Linked DNA regions of Saccharomyces cerevisiae S288C. The protein of the gene in region 1 binds, or shares a complex with, the protein of each later gene. Each region holds a gene or a part of one and is shown in the gene's direction. Other genes may lie near its edges.

What was found.
Region 2: the proteins of ARL1 (region 1) and GEA2 are in contact, whole or in part, in a cryo-EM structure (PDB 8EZJ), measured with the Saccharomyces cerevisiae proteins. Residues at the interface, in NP_009723.3 of Saccharomyces cerevisiae: Ile50 (codon at 1,793), Gly51 (codon at 1,796), Phe52 (codon at 1,799), Ser74 (codon at 1,865), Ile75 (codon at 1,868), Pro77 (codon at 1,874), Tyr78 (codon at 1,877), Arg80 (codon at 1,883), Cys81 (codon at 1,886), Tyr82 (codon at 1,889); in NP_010892.1 of Saccharomyces cerevisiae: Pro71 (codon at 2,128), Phe72 (codon at 2,131), Ser74 (codon at 2,137), Gly75 (codon at 2,140), Gln78 (codon at 2,149), Leu79 (codon at 2,152), Met82 (codon at 2,161), Asp93 (codon at 2,194), Leu95 (codon at 2,200), Thr96 (codon at 2,203), Ile97 (codon at 2,206), Gln99 (codon at 2,212), Pro100 (codon at 2,215), Leu103 (codon at 2,224), Thr107 (codon at 2,236), Ala144 (codon at 2,347), Asn147 (codon at 2,356).

The regions. Positions count from the first base shown.
Region 1 is NC_001134.8:567,074-570,071, reverse strand, and holds ARL1 (Arf family GTPase ARL1), read left to right. Parts: upstream 1-1,645; coding exon 1,646-2,197; downstream 2,198-2,998. Other genes in the region: TYR1 (prephenate dehydrogenase (NADP(+))), read left to right, coding at 1-230; UBS1 (Ubs1p), read right to left, coding at 387-1,220; EXO5 (Exo5p), read right to left, coding at 2,592-2,998. UniProt on the Saccharomyces cerevisiae protein: Recruits golgins such as IMH1 to the Golgi. Can bind and hydrolyze GTP. May be involved in trafficking events within the endosomal system.
Region 2 is NC_001137.3:109,504-116,404, forward strand, and holds GEA2 (Arf family guanine nucleotide exchange factor GEA2), read left to right. Parts: upstream 1-1,917; coding exon 1,918-6,297; downstream 6,298-6,901. Other genes in the region: YEL023C (uncharacterized protein), read right to left, coding at 1-1,049; URA3 (orotidine-5'-phosphate decarboxylase), read left to right, coding at 6,664-6,901. UniProt on the Saccharomyces cerevisiae protein: Activates the ARF proteins by exchanging bound GDP for free GTP. Plays a role in maintaining mitochondrial morphology. Stimulates DRS2 flippase activity.

The DNA.
Region 1 (2,998 bases):
TCCATGATAAATCATTCATAAAAGATGATTTAGAATTTGTTATTTCGGCTAGAGAATGGAGCTCGGTTGTTTCTTTTGCCAATTTTGATATATACAAAAAGCAATTTCAGAGTGTTCAAAAGTTCTTTGAGCCAATGCTTCCAGAGGCTAATCTCATTGGCAACGAGATGATAAAAACCATTCTGAGTCATTCTAGTGACCGTTCGGCCGCTGAAAAAAGAAATACATAATGTTTTTAATGCTGATTTCCTATAATATTAGGCCTTCTTTTGTGAAAAGGAGTATATTTATATAACTGAATAAAAATATATATTGTGACAAATGCCCATGCAAAAAATCGTGAAAAAAGGAAGAAAGTTCTACTATTCTATGTAAAAATAAACCCATTAGATTTTTTTCCTCTTTGTGTAATGCTCACTACCGCGATTATCGTTCGTTTCATCTGGACATGCCAACGTTCTTGACCTTTTAGAACTTACGACCGGATGAATACTGTCATCATCACATGCAAGTAAGTTTTTGGTCATAAAGTCGATAGCATTGTAGTCATGTGTCCTTTTGTTAACGTTATTATTGTTGAGAGTAGATAACATACTAGACTTTCCTATGCTGCTGTTAGTATAAGGGTTCTTGCTGTTGTCTTGTGCGTGAAAGGTGTGGCTTTGAGCATTGTAAGAGGACATAAATTCATTGACACTGCCACCATTACTATTGCTGATATTATGATTTTTGGAATAGCTCTTTACTATAGAGTAATCACCTGGTTGTAAAGTACCTATCAGTTCCGGAAAATAAGATTTAAAGTCCTTATATATAATCCTATTCCACGCCCTGTTGAATTTTACCGTTGACGGTGAATACTGTAAGTCTTCCGTTGCTTGAATATGAAAAAGCGGTTGCCATATGTGGAAAAGTAAATCCTGTAATCCCAAGTCTTTCAATAAAAGATAGTTTAAGTGTGTCATCGAAACCGTTCTGTTAATTGGAAAGCAACAATTTGGAGACAGACATTTCATGATGATATATGGATCCTGGTCGTTTCCGCCAATATAAAGTAGTAGATATACTTCCAAAGAAGTCCTGGGCTCGTACATTACCACGTGCCAAAGATGTAAGTCTGAATCATGTGGCCTTACATGAAAAAGACCTTGGGTCTTCTCAGGATGGCGCATAAAATATTTCCAATCCTTCAGCAATTTCCTTGTTAAAGAGTAAGCCATAATTATTAGCTTTTTGATTAAAATATAAAAAAATCTGTTTAGCTCTTATATCGCCTCCTCGCACAAAATCACGACAAAGGCAACGTTAGATTGATGCTCTCAAAACATACTAAGAATGTGTTCTATGATATATATGGGAAGAGTAGGTTAAATATTTCTTATGACAATAACAAAACCCACTGCATCGTACAGGACGGGTAACAGAGCCCTTTCCAATTGAAATTTTGAATAAAACTATTTTGCCTATAAAAGTTAGATTTACGACAATTAATATTAGGCAGAATGTTCTCGGAACTTTCAAGTAGTAAAGGATTGCGTGGTTCATTTGTATTTACGAAACGGTGAGTAATAAGGTTTCTAAAACCAAAGGAAAAATAAAGAAAGATCTAAGAAGAAAGTTCCAGTAAAGTGAGTTATAGATCAAGATGGGTAACATTTTTAGTTCAATGTTTGACAAACTATGGGGTTCAAACAAAGAATTGCGTATATTGATTTTGGGTTTGGATGGTGCAGGTAAAACTACCATCTTATATCGTTTACAAATTGGCGAAGTAGTCACTACAAAGCCAACCATTGGTTTCAATGTAGAGACGCTAAGTTATAAAAACTTAAAATTGAACGTCTGGGATCTTGGTGGTCAAACAAGTATCAGGCCCTACTGGAGGTGTTATTATGCAGACACTGCTGCAGTTATTTTCGTTGTTGATTCGACTGATAAAGATCGTATGTCTACAGCCTCTAAGGAACTTCATTTGATGTTACAGGAAGAAGAATTGCAAGATGCAGCACTGCTGGTTTTTGCAAATAAACAAGACCAACCGGGTGCATTAAGTGCCAGTGAAGTCTCCAAAGAACTGAATCTTGTAGAATTGAAGGACAGAAGTTGGTCTATCGTAGCATCCAGTGCAATTAAAGGCGAAGGTATTACCGAAGGTTTAGATTGGTTGATTGATGTTATAAAAGAGGAACAGTTATAGCGATAAAGATTTGCAAAAAAAAAGTGTAGATGCATACTTTTTAAATGGCATTGAATATACATATAATTTGTTTTGTAACTGAATTATCAAGGAGCTCTATCCAAACATAATAGAGTTAGTAAGTGTATACATGTTTCTCTTTGGGTTTTAATTCTAAAGGCAATTACATCGTTCCGATGAATGAGAAGGCCGCATTAAAATACCTAATGACCTCTTAATGAAAGTTGCATATATACATTTAAATTAAATTGTCATTTCAATTCCGATTTATTGAAACAGGACGTCCGAAAGCAGAAACAGATTTATGTGCTTAATAACCCAATAAAGGACTTCAATGTATTCACGAAACAACACCCTTTTAATAACTAGAATAAATAATGTTACAATACCTACACTACTTCATACTTGATTCAAGAATAATTTTTTTTAATTCTTTCCCTAGATCAATAAGTTTCAATTCATTTTTATTTTTCCAAGAACAAACGTGTCTGTAGTCACAAAACTTACAGTATGTGTTGAAGTTTTTTTGAGTAGGCTCAATTGGATGCATATCTCTGCCACCAAACCAAACCATTGCAGAATCATGGGCATGGGTTCCCAGTTTCAAGGGATCATATGGGAAGATGATATTGTGGAAATTATCGTTATGGTAATAATATTCTATCATTAAATCATTCGAAACGAGATTACCCACAATAAAATAGATCTGTGATAACCTTGCCGCAAAGTATTTCAAAGTTAGAGGTGTCTTCCATTTCGTATAAAAATGTCCATAATCTCGCAAAGATACACATTTTGTTG
Region 2 (6,901 bases), on another chromosome or scaffold:
CATTCTGTATCTCTCGCGTATGAATTACCTTCTAAGAATGAGTTCAGGTCCAACAGCAACTCTGTAGTTTCCTCGCTTTTGCTCGATAACAACCTTCCAGGGTTATCAGGAATGAGTGGAGAAGGATTACTAATAGAATGTGCGCCACTTTTTAAAGTGTATTTTATCAAAGGATTTTCCGGGGTTAGATCACGCATTAATGCATTAGAAGTTGGCACCGGCGAACACTGGTCAGTTATATGATTACAATATGTCAATGAAAATAGTTTCGGAATGTACGGCATCGGAGTGAAACATAACTGCTTGAATTTTCCACGTCTTTCATCCAAGGATACGCAATGTCGAACATGCTCAACGATATTGCTTCTCTGGGTGCAAGGAAACAACCTGTCCCTTAATATTCCAACTGAGTTCACAGAATCGAATAAGCCTTGAAAATGTATCTTTACCTCGTAATCCCTAGAGAATGTTTTCTTGAATTCTTCAGCCAAGGTACTTGTGTACTGTAATTCATTAGGCTGCGAATCGTATTCCCATTTTTCATAGATTTGCCATGCCATTTTAACCATTTCTTCCAAACCTTTACTCAAAAGTCCGACTCTTTCAATCATTCCAGCAAGAACTCTTGCAATAAAAGCTCCTCTAGAAAAGCCAAACATATAAATTCTATCTCCTGGTTCAAAATACTTCATCAAAAAAAGATATGCAGAACATATGTGATTGTCTAAACTGAATGCGAACATAGAATCTAATAAATTTTGTAAGTGAGAAATAGTTAACCGTCTTCTGACATCAACAACAGCGTCAAATCCAACTGAACCAATTCCAGGTTGGTAATAACAAATTTGTTCAGAACTATCACCGTTCTCAAGAAGGTTGTACAATTTTAAAATATTAGTGAATGGCTGAGGTCCAAAATTTTCTCTTGTTCCATCAAAACAAAGAATGATATTCTTGCCAGACGATGAATGTGAGGATGGATTTATACTTCTGTCGCCTCCCGTCCCATTTTTTTTATATTTTCCATGAATATAATTGAAGCTATCCATCTAATGGATATTATGTTAGTGTATTATTTTTTATAAGTTACATCACCTGTTTGCTGTTATTTTACTACATCTGTCTGAAGTACATTAATTTGTGGCGGTTTAACAGTATATTGAATGTGACAAACACACCCAGACACCTCAATAGACAACAGGAGGGCCATTACCATAATTTCATAACATTAAATATTCCAAGTAACATTTTTCAGAAGACGAAGAAAGACTAATTAACAGGATAATAAATATTAACATTATCTTTTAAGTACCATACTTGAAGCGTCAATTGATGTATGTTTGGTTTTCCACTATTTTCCTAAAAGCATGAATCTTTTCTAGGCAAAAAATTGGAATGACGACTCCTGATCGTTAAAATGGAAGACAAACACTAGAAGTTGACTTCAAAAAAACTTCTTTCATTAAATAAGGGAAATATCCGGCCGGCTCATACTGATAATATACCAGCAACATTTACAGGAAACTGCAGGTTTTAGGCAGTGTGGCGAACCGCAAATAAAGTAATAAACAACAATTTCAAACGGAAAGGACTCCTCTGCTAAAGATTTGATGTTTTTAAGTTCTTTTATAGTTTATATTGGCATAAGAGGTAAACCATATTTAGCACTTATTTTCATAAAGTATTAGAAGTGTTCTTATATATTTCATTACCCGACTTGAAAAATACTACGCGGTTCATTGCGAGAACCTTCAATAAGTGTCGAAAGAGCACCTACATTGGCGTTTAAATAATAAACACACCAACCTACATATTACGTTGAATTTAAATTCTTTCACTGCTTGTAAACCATAGACAATAAACTGATTAATTTAGTATCTAAAAAATCTTTTAAAGGGAAAGAGAAGAGGCGGAAAGATGAGTGATAGGGAATTCGTCACGGTAGATCCCGTCACTATCATAATCAAAGAATGCATTAATTTATCGACAGCGATGCGGAAATACTCTAAATTTACCTCTCAATCTGGAGTGGCCGCTTTGCTGGGGGGAGGAAGTGAAATATTTAGCAATCAAGATGACTACTTGGCTCACACATTCAACAATTTGAATACCAACAAGCACAATGATCCATTTTTATCTGGATTCATTCAGTTAAGACTTATGTTGAATAAACTGAAAAATCTAGATAATATAGATTCACTAACCATATTGCAGCCATTTTTATTAATTGTGAGTACAAGTTCCATTTCTGGTTACATCACTTCCCTGGCCCTGGACTCTTTGCAGAAATTCTTTACCTTGAATATCATCAATGAATCATCGCAAAACTATATTGGTGCACACAGGGCGACGGTAAATGCTCTAACACATTGTAGGTTTGAAGGATCTCAACAACTTTCTGATGATTCAGTTCTTTTGAAAGTCGTGTTTTTACTGCGTTCAATCGTCGACTCACCTTACGGAGATTTATTATCAAACTCTATCATATATGACGTATTGCAAACGATTCTTTCATTGGCTTGTAATAACAGAAGGAGCGAAGTCCTTAGGAATGCTGCACAATCAACAATGATAGCCGTTACCGTAAAGATTTTCTCAAAACTAAAGACTATTGAGCCTGTTAATGTGAATCAAATATACATCAATGATGAAAGTTACACAAATGATGTATTGAAGGCCGATACAATTGGCACAAATGTAGAATCCAAAGAAGAAGGAAGTCAAGAAGATCCCATCGGCATGAAAGTGAATAATGAGGAAGCTATTAGCGAGGACGATGGCATTGAAGAAGAGCATATTCATTCAGAGAAGAGCACAAATGGCGCCGAACAACTAGATATTGTGCAAAAAACAACAAGATCAAATTCCAGGATCCAAGCGTATGCTGATGATAACTATGGATTGCCCGTGGTTAGGCAATATTTAAACTTATTACTATCATTGATTGCGCCAGAAAATGAATTAAAACATTCATACTCCACTAGAATATTTGGCCTAGAGTTAATTCAAACGGCATTAGAAATTTCAGGTGATCGATTGCAGCTATACCCACGGCTTTTTACACTGATATCAGATCCTATTTTCAAAAGCATTTTGTTTATCATACAGAACACTACAAAATTATCACTACTTCAAGCTACATTGCAGCTATTTACTACTCTAGTTGTTATATTGGGCAACAACTTACAATTACAGATCGAGCTCACTCTAACAAGAATATTTTCTATTCTTTTAGATGATGGTACCGCAAATAACTCGAGTTCTGAAAATAAGAACAAGCCATCAATAATAAAGGAACTTCTAATTGAGCAAATATCCATCTTATGGACTAGGTCGCCATCTTTTTTTACTTCTACTTTTATCAATTTCGATTGTAATCTCGATAGGGCAGACGTTTCCATAAACTTTTTGAAGGCTTTGACTAAATTGGCCTTACCAGAATCCGCCTTAACTACCACAGAAAGTGTACCACCCATTTGCCTTGAGGGATTGGTCTCCCTAGTCGATGATATGTTCGATCACATGAAGGACATTGACAGAGAAGAATTTGGCAGGCAAAAGAATGAAATGGAAATCTTAAAAAAGAGGGACCGTAAAACAGAGTTTATTGAATGTACCAATGCATTCAATGAAAAGCCCAAAAAGGGTATTCCGATGTTAATAGAAAAAGGTTTCATTGCTTCCGACTCCGATAAAGATATTGCGGAGTTTCTTTTCAATAATAACAACCGTATGAATAAAAAAACAATCGGTTTGCTACTTTGCCATCCGGACAAAGTAAGCTTGTTGAATGAATATATTCGTTTGTTTGATTTTTCAGGGTTAAGGGTCGATGAAGCTATTAGAATTTTGTTGACGAAATTTAGGTTGCCTGGTGAATCGCAACAAATTGAAAGAATCATCGAAGCCTTCTCGTCTGCGTATTGTGAAAATCAAGATTACGATCCATCCAAAATCAGTGACAACGCGGAGGATGACATTTCTACTGTTCAACCAGACGCTGATTCTGTTTTCATTTTAAGTTATTCAATTATTATGTTGAACACTGACCTACATAACCCTCAAGTGAAGGAACACATGTCATTTGAAGATTACTCTGGTAACTTAAAGGGATGCTGTAATCACAAAGACTTCCCATTCTGGTATTTGGATAGAATTTACTGTTCAATCAGAGATAAAGAAATTGTTATGCCTGAAGAGCACCACGGCAACGAAAAGTGGTTTGAAGATGCTTGGAATAACTTGATATCTTCAACTACTGTTATAACTGAAATAAAAAAAGACACACAATCTGTCATGGATAAATTAACACCCTTGGAGCTTTTGAACTTTGATAGAGCAATTTTTAAACAAGTTGGCCCAAGTATTGTCAGTACTTTATTCAACATTTACGTAGTTGCATCTGATGACCATATATCTACCAGAATGATAACAAGTTTGGACAAATGTTCCTATATTTCCGCATTTTTTGACTTCAAAGATCTCTTTAATGATATACTAAACTCCATTGCTAAGGGCACTACTTTGATTAATTCAAGCCATGACGATGAACTTTCAACTTTAGCTTTTGAATATGGCCCAATGCCACTGGTGCAAATTAAATTCGAAGACACTAACACTGAGATCCCGGTTAGTACAGATGCTGTTAGATTTGGTAGATCATTTAAGGGTCAACTAAATACAGTTGTTTTTTTCCGGATTATTCGCAGGAACAAAGATCCTAAAATTTTCTCCAAGGAATTATGGTTAAACATTGTTAATATTATACTAACATTGTACGAAGACTTGATTTTGTCTCCTGATATTTTCCCTGATTTACAAAAAAGACTGAAATTAAGCAACTTGCCTAAGCCATCTCCTGAAATTTCTATTAACAAGAGCAAAGAAAGCAAAGGTCTCTTATCAACATTTGCTTCTTATTTAAAAGGTGATGAAGAACCCACAGAAGAGGAAATCAAATCCTCAAAAAAAGCGATGGAGTGCATAAAGTCGAGTAATATTGCCGCCTCTGTCTTTGGAAATGAATCAAATATAACAGCGGATTTAATAAAAACTTTACTAGACTCCGCCAAAACTGAGAAAAACGCAGATAATTCCAGGTATTTTGAAGCAGAACTTTTATTTATCATCGAATTGACTATTGCATTATTTCTATTTTGCAAAGAGGAGAAAGAATTAGGAAAGTTCATACTTCAAAAAGTTTTCCAACTTTCTCACACGAAAGGCCTCACGAAAAGGACTGTTCGTAGAATGCTAACATACAAAATTTTGTTAATTTCGTTATGTGCGGATCAGACGGAGTACTTGTCCAAATTAATAAACGATGAGCTGTTAAAAAAGGGGGATATTTTTACCCAAAAATTTTTTGCAACTAATCAAGGTAAGGAATTTTTGAAGAGACTATTTTCATTGACCGAATCAGAGTTTTATAGAGGATTTTTACTAGGAAATGAGAATTTTTGGAAATTTTTAAGAAAAGTTACAGCAATGAAAGAGCAGAGCGAGAGCATTTTTGAATATTTAAATGAATCGATCAAGACAGACAGCAATATTTTGACAAATGAGAACTTCATGTGGGTCCTAGGACTATTAGATGAAATTTCATCAATGGGTGCCGTTGGAAATCACTGGGAAATAGAATACAAGAAATTGACAGAAAGTGGTCATAAAATTGATAAGGAGAATCCATACAAGAAATCGATCGAATTATCATTGAAATCCATTCAACTAACATCACACTTGCTGGAAGATAATAACGATCTGCGTAAAAACGAGATATTCGCTATTATTCAAGCTTTGGCACATCAATGCATCAATCCGTGTAAGCAGATAAGTGAATTTGCAGTGGTAACGCTAGAGCAGACGCTCATCAATAAAATCGAAATTCCAACTAATGAGATGGAATCGGTAGAAGAATTAATTGAGGGCGGATTACTACCGTTGCTAAATTCGAGTGAAACACAGGAAGACCAGAAAATCCTCATTTCATCCATATTAACAATAATTTCAAATGTTTATTTGCATTATTTGAAACTAGGGAAGACAAGCAACGAAACGTTTTTGAAAATTTTGAGTATTTTCAATAAATTTGTAGAGGACTCAGATATTGAAAAAAAGCTACAGCAATTAATACTTGATAAGAAGAGTATTGAGAAGGGCAACGGTTCATCATCTCATGGATCTGCACATGAACAAACACCAGAGTCAAACGACGTTGAAATTGAGGCTACTGCGCCAATTGATGACAATACAGACGATGATAACAAACCGAAGTTATCTGATGTAGAAAAGGATTAAAGATGCTAAGAGATAGTGATGATATTTCATAAATAATGTAATTCTATATATGTTAATTACCTTTTTTGCGAGGCATATTTATGGTGAAGGATAAGTTTTGACCATCAAAGAAGGTTAATGTGGCTGTGGTTTCAGGGTCCATAAAGCTTTTCAATTCATCTTTTTTTTTTTTGTTCTTTTTTTTGATTCCGGTTTCTTTGAAATTTTTTTGATTCGGTAATCTCCGAGCAGAAGGAAGAACGAAGGAAGGAGCACAGACTTAGATTGGTATATATACGCATATGTGGTGTTGAAGAAACATGAAATTGCCCAGTATTCTTAACCCAACTGCACAGAACAAAAACCTGCAGGAAACGAAGATAAATCATGTCGAAAGCTACATATAAGGAACGTGCTGCTACTCATCCTAGTCCTGTTGCTGCCAAGCTATTTAATATCATGCACGAAAAGCAAACAAACTTGTGTGCTTCATTGGATGTTCGTACCACCAAGGAATTACTGGAGTTAGTTGAAGCATTAGGTCCCAAAATTTGTTTACTAAAAACACATGTGGATATCTTGACTGATTTTTCCATGGAGGGCACAGTTAAGCCGCTAAAGGCAT